Coturnix japonica: one gene and its partners. Each later gene encodes a partner of the first gene's protein in a complex. Links are inferred from orthologs where the notes say so. Each region holds a gene or a part of one and is shown in the gene's direction. Other genes may lie near its edges.

Region 1 (3,748 bases):
GAATACTATTATCATAGGTGCTCAGAGCTCTGTCCAGCCTGGTCTTGAATGCTTCCAGAGATGGAGAACTGACCACCTCTCTGCGCAACCTGTTACAGTGCTTTACCACTCGTACTGTAAAAAACTTACTTATATCCAATCTGAATCTCCCCTCTTTCAGTTTGAAACCATTTCCCCTTGTCCTATCACAACAGACCCTGCTAAAGAGTCTGCCCCCTTCTTTCTTGCCGCCCCCTTTAGATACTGAAAGGCTACTATCAGATCTCCTTGGAGCTTTGTCTTCTCCAGGCTGAACAGTCCCAGCTCTCTCAGCCTGTCCTCATAGGAGAACTTATTTTAGTCATTACTACCTAGCCAATATTGCTTTAAATACCACACATGTAAGGCATTCTCTCAAGGACTTGAAGGAACAGCATGGAGCTGTGTTAGGAGAATGTCAGGCTGGGTGTTAAGGAATGGTTCTTCACCTTATGCTGGTGTGGTCTGTGGTTACAGCACCAAGCAGACAGAGTTCAAGGAGCATCCAGACAGCACTCCTAGCAATACATGGTCTAGGTTTCAGGTGGTCCTGCGTGGAGCCATGAACTGGGACTCGATGATCCTTAATGGTTCTCTTTGAATACCACGATATCCTCCGACTAATGCCACGTTTGTATGTGTGAACAGGGAATAAGCAGCTGCGTGCAGCGAGCCGCCCTGGTGAGCCCTCCCGGCAGGGCAGTGGGTGATGGGCCTGGCAGCGCCCCGCGGCCTGCCGGACGCCGCCGGGCGGATGCTCGATGCCGCCCGCAGCGCGCCCTGTCTCGGAGCTCTGCCCGCCGCTGGGCGGTAAGGGCTGCCCCGGGGCCTGCCGGGCAGCCACTGTTTCCCCCCGCGGCAGGGTCGGGCTCCGGGCCGGGCTCTCCCAGTCACCGGAGGCGTTCGGGGGACCCGCTGAGCGGACATGAGCCCGGCCCGCGGCCACCATGTCCTCGGCTCCCACCAGCGCAGCCCGTCATGGCGGCACCGCCCCGCACCGCCGCGGGACCAGGAGGGCGGCGGCCGACGCGCTGACGCGAAGGGCGGCGCGGAGCGGCGGGAGGGGCCGTGCCGGGCGGTGCTGGCGGCGGGGGCGGCGGCCGGAGGAAGATGGTGGCGGGAGGAGACGCTGCCTGCCGGGCTGTCCGCCCCGCGCTGCGCTGCCAGCCCCGCCGGAGCCGCCCTGCGTGGTGAGGAGGCGGCGCGGACCCGCACCAGGTGCGGAGGGGCCGGGCCGCGATCTGGGCGCGGGATCGGGACCCCGTTTGGCGGTGCCCATCGGCACGGCTACGGGAGGGGCCGCCCCTCCCTCGTGGGGGCTCCGCGAGCGAGGAGCGGCGGGCGGGTGCGGGCTGTGCAGCCGGCTCGGCGCTGTGCGTTCCGCTCGGGCCGAGCTGCGGGGCCGCCCCTCCTCCCCCGTGCGCCGTGCCCGGCGGCAGGGAGCGGCGGGCGGGCTGCGGTGCCCGGGGCTGCGGGTCGGGGGAGGCGGCGGGCCCGGATATGGCGGGGTTGCGGTGGCCCCGCGCGTTGCGGCTGTTTCTGGAAGGATCAGCGTTAGTAGGGACGGTCCGGGCAGCGCTGTGCTGTGCTGCCGCCCTCGTACGTAAGCCTGCCTCGTAGGAGATGCGGGAGCTCGGGCCTCGGCTGGGAAATCTGCAGCGTTTTTGCTCTCCCTCCTGCAGGGCTGTAGGATTGCAGTTGGTTTCAGACCCGGCTGCTCTCGCCGCTGCTGAGCAACCAGAGGGATGTCCGCCGGCTGTGCGTGCGCGGAGCTGCTGTGGGTGTAGGGCAGGCCGGGTACTGCGTTTCTGCTGCCCGGTGTGCGCCCATCGCGCTGTGCCCGCTGACGGGAGCTCGCCCCGTGCCGCAGCGATTTTGCGCCTGCTTGGCGGATGCGGCCTGCGGTCCCCAGCAGCTTGCCCTGGAAAATATCCCTGTCACAATACCTCAAGTTCTGCTGCATTGCTGTCAAATCCGAGACGGCTGCACCTGCCTCTGCAGCCCCGTGGCTGAAACAGGCAGCAGCACCCTGTTTTCCTAGACGCTGGTGCTGACAAAGAACCTGCTTGTTCTCCAGGTGTGTTACATCTTAGTGATGTGCAGATAACAAAAAGCAACGGACACATTCACATTTTTCCGTGTTAGGCAGTGGGGAGGAGCTGCCCAGCAGCTCAGTGCATGAAAGTGATGGGTGGCAGAAGGTTCTTTGGTGCATTAGTGCATATTTAAACCCAGAAACTGAGCGTCATGCAAGCTGTAGTGGGAGACCATAGAAAAGACAAGAGCAGAAAATGCGTCGTCGTGATGCACTTTGGGTAGGGTACTGTGCATGTTTAGTGGCTGAAATAAGAAACAGAGCAAAAAGCAGCTTGCCTCCCTCCCTTGGAACCGTGTAACCCAAGTTGGGGGATCTGAGAGATTTCAGGTTAACCTGATTTTCACAAAGTAATGGCAACTCAAGGTCGGCTGCGTGGTACGGGTCGTGCAGTTTATTGGTCTGAGTTTTTCTTGGGCGCTGTGAGTTGCATTTTGAAGCATTTGTCTTGCATTATAACACTGTCTTTACTTAAAATATAAATGCTTTTCAGACTGTTGAGCTGTTGCAGACAGAAGGCTGGCCCCTTACAAGACTGTGGAAATAGAGATAAGCACAGTATTGGTTATAAATGCATTTTAGTTGGTCAAGGAACTGGCTTCTGATTTCATTGATACCATTTTGAGCCACAGTCATGTACAGTGATGCACTCTTAAACTCAGAAAGCCTGCAGTATGAAAGCTGTGTCCATCTTTAAGGTACAGTTAGCTTTTGCTTCTTAGAAGCAGCTTCTCTACCAGCTGCATAAAAGACATGCAGGTACGAAAAAATTTTTGCTGAGTTTCTTGTTTTGTGCTTTTAATAGGTCGGTGAGATTGTTCATGTGCGGTATTTTAGTTACTTGGTTTGAGATTGTCTCAGCGTGCATTAGTATTTGTGGCAAACAAGACAGGGAAATGGAGCAGTAAGTCCAGAAATGTTGGCCAGGAAGGTTGGCACTGGGGTGTTACTCTGTCTGTGTACATTCAGGGTTAGTATCCAAACCAGCAATCCCTTCAAAAAAATACAATAAGCTTTGGAGTCATGAAGGAAAACCAAAGCAAGTGCTCAAGCTTTCTGCTTGTATCTAGTTGTCTCAACATTTAAAGATCTGATTCGGCATCTCTTTGCTCAGCACACAGATTGATGGCTATTGACAGTATCTGTTCTGGATTGATGCTAGATTATGAATTAGAAGAATCAGACCTTTTCTTTTCCCCTCTACCTCATCCCCCCCCAAATTAAAAAATATTAATAGGTTATATAATATTAACTTCAAACAGTGTAATAAACATTGCCCATAAGCAGTGCAGCTAGATTAATTGAGGCTTAACTTTGAACGAGATCCTATTACTGTCGATTTAAGTCAAGCATTGATGTTCTGGTAATGCATTTTTAAATGTGGTTCTCTCATTTTACGGAAGATGAAGATTTCTGCTTAATCAGAGATCTAGCAAGCAATCCTCTGCTCATTATTTCTAACAGATTGTGTGTAATACGTACTGTGTACAGGTTAAAGGTTTCTGTGGAACAGATTGATTGTTTTGCTTCATACTATTGACTGATTTGATAAGCCAGCTGCTCAGAGCAGTGTGATGGTATTTTTCTGTTTCCACTGCATGAGACCGTGCTCTTTAAAAAGAACAGAAAAGAATG
Region 2 (3,748 bases), on another chromosome or scaffold:
CATGTTTAATTCCAGCAAATGCTGCTTTTTCATCTTCCTTGAGTGCGCGTAATACTCCCATTCAAGTCTCTCATCTGAGTGCCAATTAGCCCCTGTGGCAGAGCACATGAAATCTGACCAGGGGTAGATAAAAAAGGATAAAGCTGGAATAAGCTTCTTGCTTTCCACAGTTCAAGCACAAACAGTAGATTAGCTAAACTTGTGTATTTCTAAAAGGCGACATATTTGGCATTAGCGTTACACAGATATTCATAGAAAATTTACTGTTATAGCTGCATTTTGCTTCAAGAAGTCTGTTGACAACATGGCAGATTAAAAGAGCAAGCCTAAGGGTTACGACGTTCCCTATGAAAAACAACTAATTAACCTGGCACCTTGCTTTTAATATTATTTAAACATAATTTTACACGTGTACCAATCAGAACAGTTCGAGTGTTGTCACATTACACTGTTACAGCTCCAAACGTGAATTTCTTCCCTTCTAAGGTTGGTGAACCCAGTGTGCAGCAGTGTGACTGTGTAAGAGGCACTGTTAGGCTTTACGTCGATCCAGCTGCTCCACAAGTATATAAAGTCTACAAAATAGAAATCCTCACATTAATTTTGATCTTAAAAACTGTTTGACAGGAGCTGGTTTCTTGATTTTTTTTCTCTCTAATTTTAATACTGCCATATGTATTTTTAATCTCTTAAAACTTTTAGTGACAACATTTCCACAGCTTCCCTAGCTAACTACCTCTACTACTGCTTAAATACGCCGGCAATTACAGCTGTTACCAATGCACAGTCTGCTTGTGCTGTATTTTCACATTCCCTGTGCTGTGCCCCCAGTAAACGAGAGGCAGAGTGCTACATTCCTCTCTGGGTTAAAGTTTTCCCAGTTTTGGCGTTTCTTGGGCAAGTGCAGCAACGCAGGTACTGCACAGGACGGCAGTCAAAGGGGGCTCAGGTCTCCACTGTCACTTCTCTGCACACTTGCTCACAGTGGAAGGCAGCACAACTGCACGTCCCTTTCTGGAGAGGCAGAACGGCTGCCCTTGGGCTCCGGGCTAAGGACGGCCAGCACAACCAGCCCTGCACGGCTCCACCGCTAAGCTCAGCTTGAAGGATGAGCGCTCAGGCCTGCACAAACTGAGCACATCCACCCGCACGATGTGACCTCGACTCACGATCGACCTCTCTCCCTTTATGCCTTTCAAGCCCGAGCTGTGGAACTGTATGGGACGCGTTCTAGGAGATATCGAGCGATACCCTGAGGACGGCCCGGAGCACGCAGAAGCCCATACGCGGCTCCGGGCTGAAGACGGTGCTGACTACAGCAGTGCCGTCCGAAGGGCGGCGCGAGGAAGCCCCGGTGCAGCGCAGCCCTGCGAGGGGCTCCGCCGTGGGCTCTCCCCGCAGCTCCCGGCTGCGCTCCCGCAGGCGGCGCTGCGCCGCTCCCCGCCCTCGCTCCGCTGCGGCACCCCCGGGCGGCGGGGCCACAGACGGACCGCCCCTCGCCCGCCGCCCCCGGCCCCAGAAAGCTGTCACCGACGCCGCCCGTCCCTCAGGGCCGTGAGCCCCGGGAGTCCGCTCTGAGGCGAGCTCGGCGGCCTCCCGCCGGGTCCCGGTGCGCACCGCAGCGATGCCGGCAGCCCGCGCCGGGCCCCGCCGGGCCGCCCTGCGCACGATGCACCGCGGAGTCCCGTCCACGTTGAGCCGCCCTCCGCTGGGCGCCCTCTCCGCCCCGCTCGCCTCCTCCTCCTCTTTTTCCTCCTCCTCCTCCCACGGAGCCACCCTCCTCCTCCGCCCCCTCTCCCTGCCAGCCTCCTCCCCGCCCTTCCCCTCGCTCCACGCCGGTGCCGGAGCCGCGCGTCACTCGGGCTCCAGCCCCGCCGCAGACATGGCGACACTGACCGCGGTCCAGCCGCTCACGCTGGACAGAGGTAAGAGCGGCGGCTGCCGCCCCCCGGCCCGACCGAGGGAACATCGCGGGGCTCCGTGCGAGGCGGGCGGCGGGCGCTGCCGTGACGGCCCGCCCGTCCCCGCGCCGTAAGGGCTGGAGGCGGCGGGTGGGTGGGCAGGGTCTCCCCGCGGGGCTCCGGAGCGAGGAGAGGAGAGGAAAGTTTGTCCGGCGGCGCGGAGCGGCCGGGGGACGCTGGTAGGGCTGCACGGCGAGGGCTGGGGCTGCGCGCAGGTGCCCCGCGGCCGTGAGCTCGGTTCTCTTTGCCTCGCTGCCGCTGGAGAGCCGCAGCACATCCGCACCTGTCCGGAGACGGCACCGCGCTTGGGGCGGGCGGAGCGGGCGCCCGGTTGTAAGGGGAGCGTGTGTCGGCGTTTGGGGTCGGTGCGGGAGTGCTGCGTTGTGAGCTGACGGTGATGGTATTACTCCGTGTGATGGTATTACTCCGTGTGATGATGCTATTACTCCGTGTGATGATGCTATTACTCCGTGTGATGCTACCCTGCCGGGGTGCTGTGCATGCCTGCAGGCTGCTGCTCCGTCCGCGGAGAGAGAGCGGCTGATGTTTTGCTCGCCTTGAGTTTGTGTCAGCAGCCTGACCGAGGTAATGAAAAGAGGTGCTGAAATCGTGAACTTTTGTTTAAATTCAGTTTTCGCCTCCAGGCTGTGAAAATTGGACGGCTCCCTTGCGATGCATTTGCGCCGCTTGCAAGGCCGAGCAAAAATGCTGTTTAGTTTCTGTGGTCACAGAGGAGAAGGACTTAACCTGATGTCTGATTTGTTTTGCTTCTGTGGCTCTGTGAGTTAAAGAGGTCACACAGCTCCCAAAACAGTTTCTTGAGTTGCAGATGCATCTTTCTTAACTTCCATCAAGGAGCCCAGTGGCTCTGAACATGTATAAATCTTGTACTCTTGAAAGCACGATTTAGGCCAGTGCCGCTTTTTCTTTTACATGCTCTTTCTAGAGGATTAAGACAGGCTTTCAGAGCAAGATAGAGAGCATCTTCCTGTAAATCCTATGCAAAAGAAGCCTGATGAACCCGGTTTCAAGGTGAGAAAGATGGTGCAGGGACCTTTACTGGAGCTTTACGAGAGCAAAGCAGTCTTCAGAGTTTCACAGAATCACAGAACATCCTGAGTTGGAAGGGATCTGCAAGGATCATTGAGCCCAACTCCTGGCTGCACACACAACCGCCCAAAATCAAACCCTGTGTCTGAGAGCATTGTCCAAATACTTCTTGAACTCAGTCAGCTCAGTGCCTTGACCACTGTCCTGGGGAAGCTGTTCCAGTACCTGACACCCTCTATTGATGAACCTTTTCCTATTGTACTCTAAGTACAGTTTGCTGAATAGTTTTAATTTCAACGTTTTTAGAAAAGGAGAATTTCAAGTTATTCTTACTGAAATAACAAAGCGTTTGTTATTGGCATGCGCTTGAAATTAAACAGTTCAGAAATCCACTGTGTAATCTACAGTTTCACCCTAATACTGTTTTCAGTAAGCAGGACAAATCTATTTCCTGGCAAAGAGCTGAACAGATGGCAATCCATTAGCAAACCTGGCTTTTCTAAGGAAAGTATTACTATTTCAGAATTACGCGTTTCTTTTCATCGCTAACACAGTGCTTTAAAAAAAATCACAATACACAAAAATGCAAATTAGTCCAAATTTAAATGTAAACATCTGTTGTCTGTGTCCAGAATATGCCTAAATGTTTGGCAGGGGTGCTGGTGTTATGGACTCCCTGATTGTCAGCCAGGGCTGACAGTAGCGTGAGGAGATATGGCATCACGGAGTGGTAGAAT
Region 3 (3,648 bases), on another chromosome or scaffold:
GGGAAATCAAAAGCATTTTTTTCATTCTGTAATTTTTGTACAGATTGCAAGTATGCAGCAAACACAGCAGACTTGGAGTTAGCAATAGCCGGGGTTTCAAATGTGATGCGTATTTGCTTAGATACCTGATCCTCTTAACAAATTGAAAATGCTTCCTAAATAGTGAGGATGAACTTGAGCTCTCATCTGAAGCAATGCGTGCGACTGCAACTGTAATATTCGGGTGCTGTTCCATGAGTGATTTACATCCTGTCTGTGATACAAACACAGCTTTAACTGTGCTGGTGGATGACCAGTTCAAGAAGTTACATCATACCATCTTTAAATGACTCTAGCGGCTGCTATGAGTGTCTGCGAGATATCTAACTGATGCCTTACAGAAGTGGGCAGCATGAACTGTGGGTTGTCTTCTGTCAGTGCACCTCAATTTCGGAGTGTAACAAGATAGACATTGGTCTTGAAGTTTGTGGTGGCTGCTTGTCTATTTAGTGGCATTACAGCAGCACAGAAGATGTTCCACGTGAAAAATGATTCCCTGAAGGTTAATTATGGAAAAGAGGAAGTAATGTATTTAGGACATAATCATGCTCCAGACTTCATCTTCTAGAATGATCTATGCCTTATTTATGCGGTAGATTAATCACTGCTTCTGTCTGCCTTTCTGATAACGAAGATCATAATGTCTACCTGCTTTTCTGAGAGACTGTTCTACTGCTATTCATGGACTTAACGTGATTCAGAAGAATGGTCACTCTAGAAATGTAAGTGAGGAATATTAATCCTTGCTACTCTTGAAGAGCTGCCTGCAGAACGCCGCATAGCTTTGATGCCATGTTTGATGCCCATCTTGCTCGGTACTGGTCTGAAATCAAATTCTTCAGATGAAATTTTGGTTTCACTGATAGTTTTGGTCTTTCAGGACATGTCAAGAAATGAGGAAAAAATGTTGAGTTTGGGGATCTTTACTACAGAACACTCAGCAGAGATCGTGGAGGAATTTGGGTTCTTTTTCCTAGCGCTTTGATACATCAGGCACATTGTAGGTGGAGGAAGTAAGAAAGTATTTTCAAACTGCTATGAGGTTTAATCAAGTTTTTACCATTCCAGCTGCTGTTTGGCATCCAATTAATATAATTACAGACTACTCATGCCCAAGTCAGCCTTTTTTGTAGGGAAAACATTGGGTGTATTTCTGGTAAACTAGTTTTTGAATGTAAAAGGTATGTTAGTTTGCTTGGTGATACTATAGATTGCTTTGACAAAATGATAGCCATACATTACATAAATTACGGAGTTTTATGCATACAAAACAGTGCTACCGCATTAACTTTGTTTAAAAAGCAAAAGCAAACAAAGCCACCAGTAGGATCTTTTCAGGCATTGCTCATAATGAACACTTCATTTTTGTTTTTTTCTGTAGATATCTGCAGAGCAATTGAATTGCTGGAAAAATTACAGAGAAGTGGAGAAGTGCCACCGCAGAAACTACAGGCTTTGCAAAGGGTCCTTCAGAGTGAATTCTGTAATGCTGTAAGGGAGGTAAGTTAACTGTGTAAGCAATTAGCTTGCATTAAAAGTGGTACCTTGAAAAGTGGAAGTGTTAATGCACTGAACTTCAAAAAACTGAATTTGACTTATGGAGCTTTATAGAAGACGGCTTATTTTTTACAAGTTGAGAAGAAAACAGTTTAGGGGTACTATAGGTGTGTTGTATTAAACAGTATCTGATAAACAAATTACTTCTTGGAGGTTATTTGGAGGTTATCTAGCTGCCTTGCTGGCAGGTAGTGCCCTGTTATCCTGTTGGCTGGTAAGAACGGGCAAAGTATAAATTGCCTTTTCTTTTAAGCTAGATTGGCATCATAGCTTTGCACACCTCATCTTCGTTCCTGATGCTCTTTCAGTAATTTGAGATGATTGAATGCATCCTCCTGTTGGTGGCGGTGATGGTGCTACCACTGCTGATAACACCTGCAACAATTTGCAAGATCTGTTTGTGGACGTGGAAGTCCTCTTGATGTTTTCATCTTATGAAGGACTGCGTTTGTTGTGTTAGCTACCACTAACCCAGTTAGCATTAGTATTCTTATGGCCTTTGTGTTTTCAATAGCCTTTATTTTCATTATGTATTCAGTTGGTTGCATCAGGTGAAGGGAAATACAGATTTGATTGTTGGGTGAGCTTTGAAGATCCACCCTTGCATAATTTTTCATGCACCCTTATGGAAAAGTCCAATTAAATCAAATATGAGAAGTTAGTCACCCACATCTGCTGTCAGATGTTGTGGTGAGGTCTGTATACTTACTGAGTGAGAGGATTTGGGTTGAGACCTAGAATGTGTGTGGCTTATCTGAGCAGTAAAGATATTGAGAGAGTTGTTTCTTCATAGTATGGTAGATACTTTACTTGGCACCTTGCAGTGAATCAGGGAGTCATTTGCTAAAGGTGTTTGGTTTGGTTTTTTTCATGTATGCAGTTTTAAGTTGTAACTGATTGTTATGTTACCTAAGCAGAAAAATAACTCTTTTCACCGTGCTTAAGTTGTCTTATCTTTAAAGGTGTACGAACACGTATATGAAACTGTGGATATCAGCAGTAGCCCAGAAGTGAGAGCTAATGCAACAGCGAAGGTAAACGCCAAACTTGAGTAAAATGTGTTAATTTGTTACTTTAGAAGCAGAGGAAAGGTATTTAAAATCCAGAAATGTATTATCTAGATGTTTGGTCAAATAGATAAACATATGAGGTCATTAAAAGGGATAACAAAAGACATTTTTTAAAAGTTTTTTCCACTTATATTGTCTTCGTTGAGTTCTAATTTTTTTTTTAATCCCGATGTTGTTTAAGAAATTGATCTGATTATTCTTAATATTTTAGCACTTTAAGATGAAACTAATTTTTCAGCCTGCTCACTGTGTCAAGCTGAGGAGTTTGTAGTCGTGTAAATAGCAAGATCTTATTTTTTACAGGCCACTGTAGCTGCATTTGCTGCTAGTGAAGGTCATTCGCATCCCAGAGTGGTTGAACTGCCAAAAACCGAAGAAGGTCTTGGATTCAACATCATGGGAGGCAAAGAACAAAATTCTCCCATCTATATCTCCCGAATTATCCCTGGTGGTATAGCTGATAGGCACGGAGGCCTGAAACGTGGAGACCAGCTCCTTTCTGTAAACGGAGTGGTAGGAATTTTTTCACTTTCTATAGCAGTAACTACTTGTCTCCACTTGGGGGCATACGTAGAATATTCGTGGCACAAGCTTGAGGTTGTCTTTCGATCCTAGCAAAACTGCTTCTTATTGTCCTCTCAAGAACATCTTCCTTAGGTTTCTGAACCTAGTTCTGTGCAGTGAGAGTTCTTGGATTATGCTTTGGTTACATTTTTCAACTGGGATGGGTACTATTTATGTCAACGTTTCAAATTCTGAAAAGTTGTATAAATCTGGTAGGTCTTGTTCTGAAATAGTATTGAACTACCATTATGGCTTCCTGTTTTATCCAATTTGATGATGCAGGTTTTAACTTAGTTTTCTGCAGCTTCAAAGGTAAGTAGTAAATTATAATGCATGATGGTAGACTGAGCAGGGGCTCTTTGTCATTATCCCAGTAGGAGCACTACTGCTTAATGAAAGCTGTAGAAAGATGGAAAAA

The links.
Region 2: APBA1 (region 1) and LIN7A share a complex: the UniProt entries of both Homo sapiens proteins name them as parts of the brain-specific heterotrimeric complex. The link is inferred for Coturnix japonica from reciprocal best matches to the Homo sapiens genes APBA1 and LIN7A.
Region 3: APBA1 (region 1) and LIN7C share a complex: the UniProt entries of both Homo sapiens proteins name them as parts of the brain-specific heterotrimeric complex. The link is inferred for Coturnix japonica from reciprocal best matches to the Homo sapiens genes APBA1 and LIN7C.

The regions. Positions count from the first base shown.
Region 1 is NC_029547.1:31,216,834-31,220,581, reverse strand, and holds the start of APBA1 (amyloid-beta A4 precursor protein-binding family A member 1), read left to right. Parts: upstream 1-1,083; 5' UTR 1,084-1,236; intron 1,237-3,748. UniProt on the Homo sapiens protein: Putative function in synaptic vesicle exocytosis by binding to Munc18-1, an essential component of the synaptic vesicle exocytotic machinery. May modulate processing of the amyloid-beta precursor protein (APP) and hence formation of APP-beta.
Region 2 is NC_029516.1:36,419,061-36,422,808, reverse strand, and holds the start of LIN7A (protein lin-7 homolog A), read left to right. Parts: upstream 1-1,545; 5' UTR 1,546-1,624; coding exon 1,625-1,925; intron 1,926-3,748. UniProt on the Homo sapiens protein: Plays a role in establishing and maintaining the asymmetric distribution of channels and receptors at the plasma membrane of polarized cells.
Region 3 is NC_029520.1:3,029,695-3,033,342, reverse strand, and holds part of LIN7C (protein lin-7 homolog C), read left to right. Parts: intron 1-1,420; coding exon 1,421-1,539; intron 1,540-2,558; coding exon 2,559-2,630; intron 2,631-2,969; coding exon 2,970-3,179; intron 3,180-3,648. UniProt on the Homo sapiens protein: Plays a role in establishing and maintaining the asymmetric distribution of channels and receptors at the plasma membrane of polarized cells.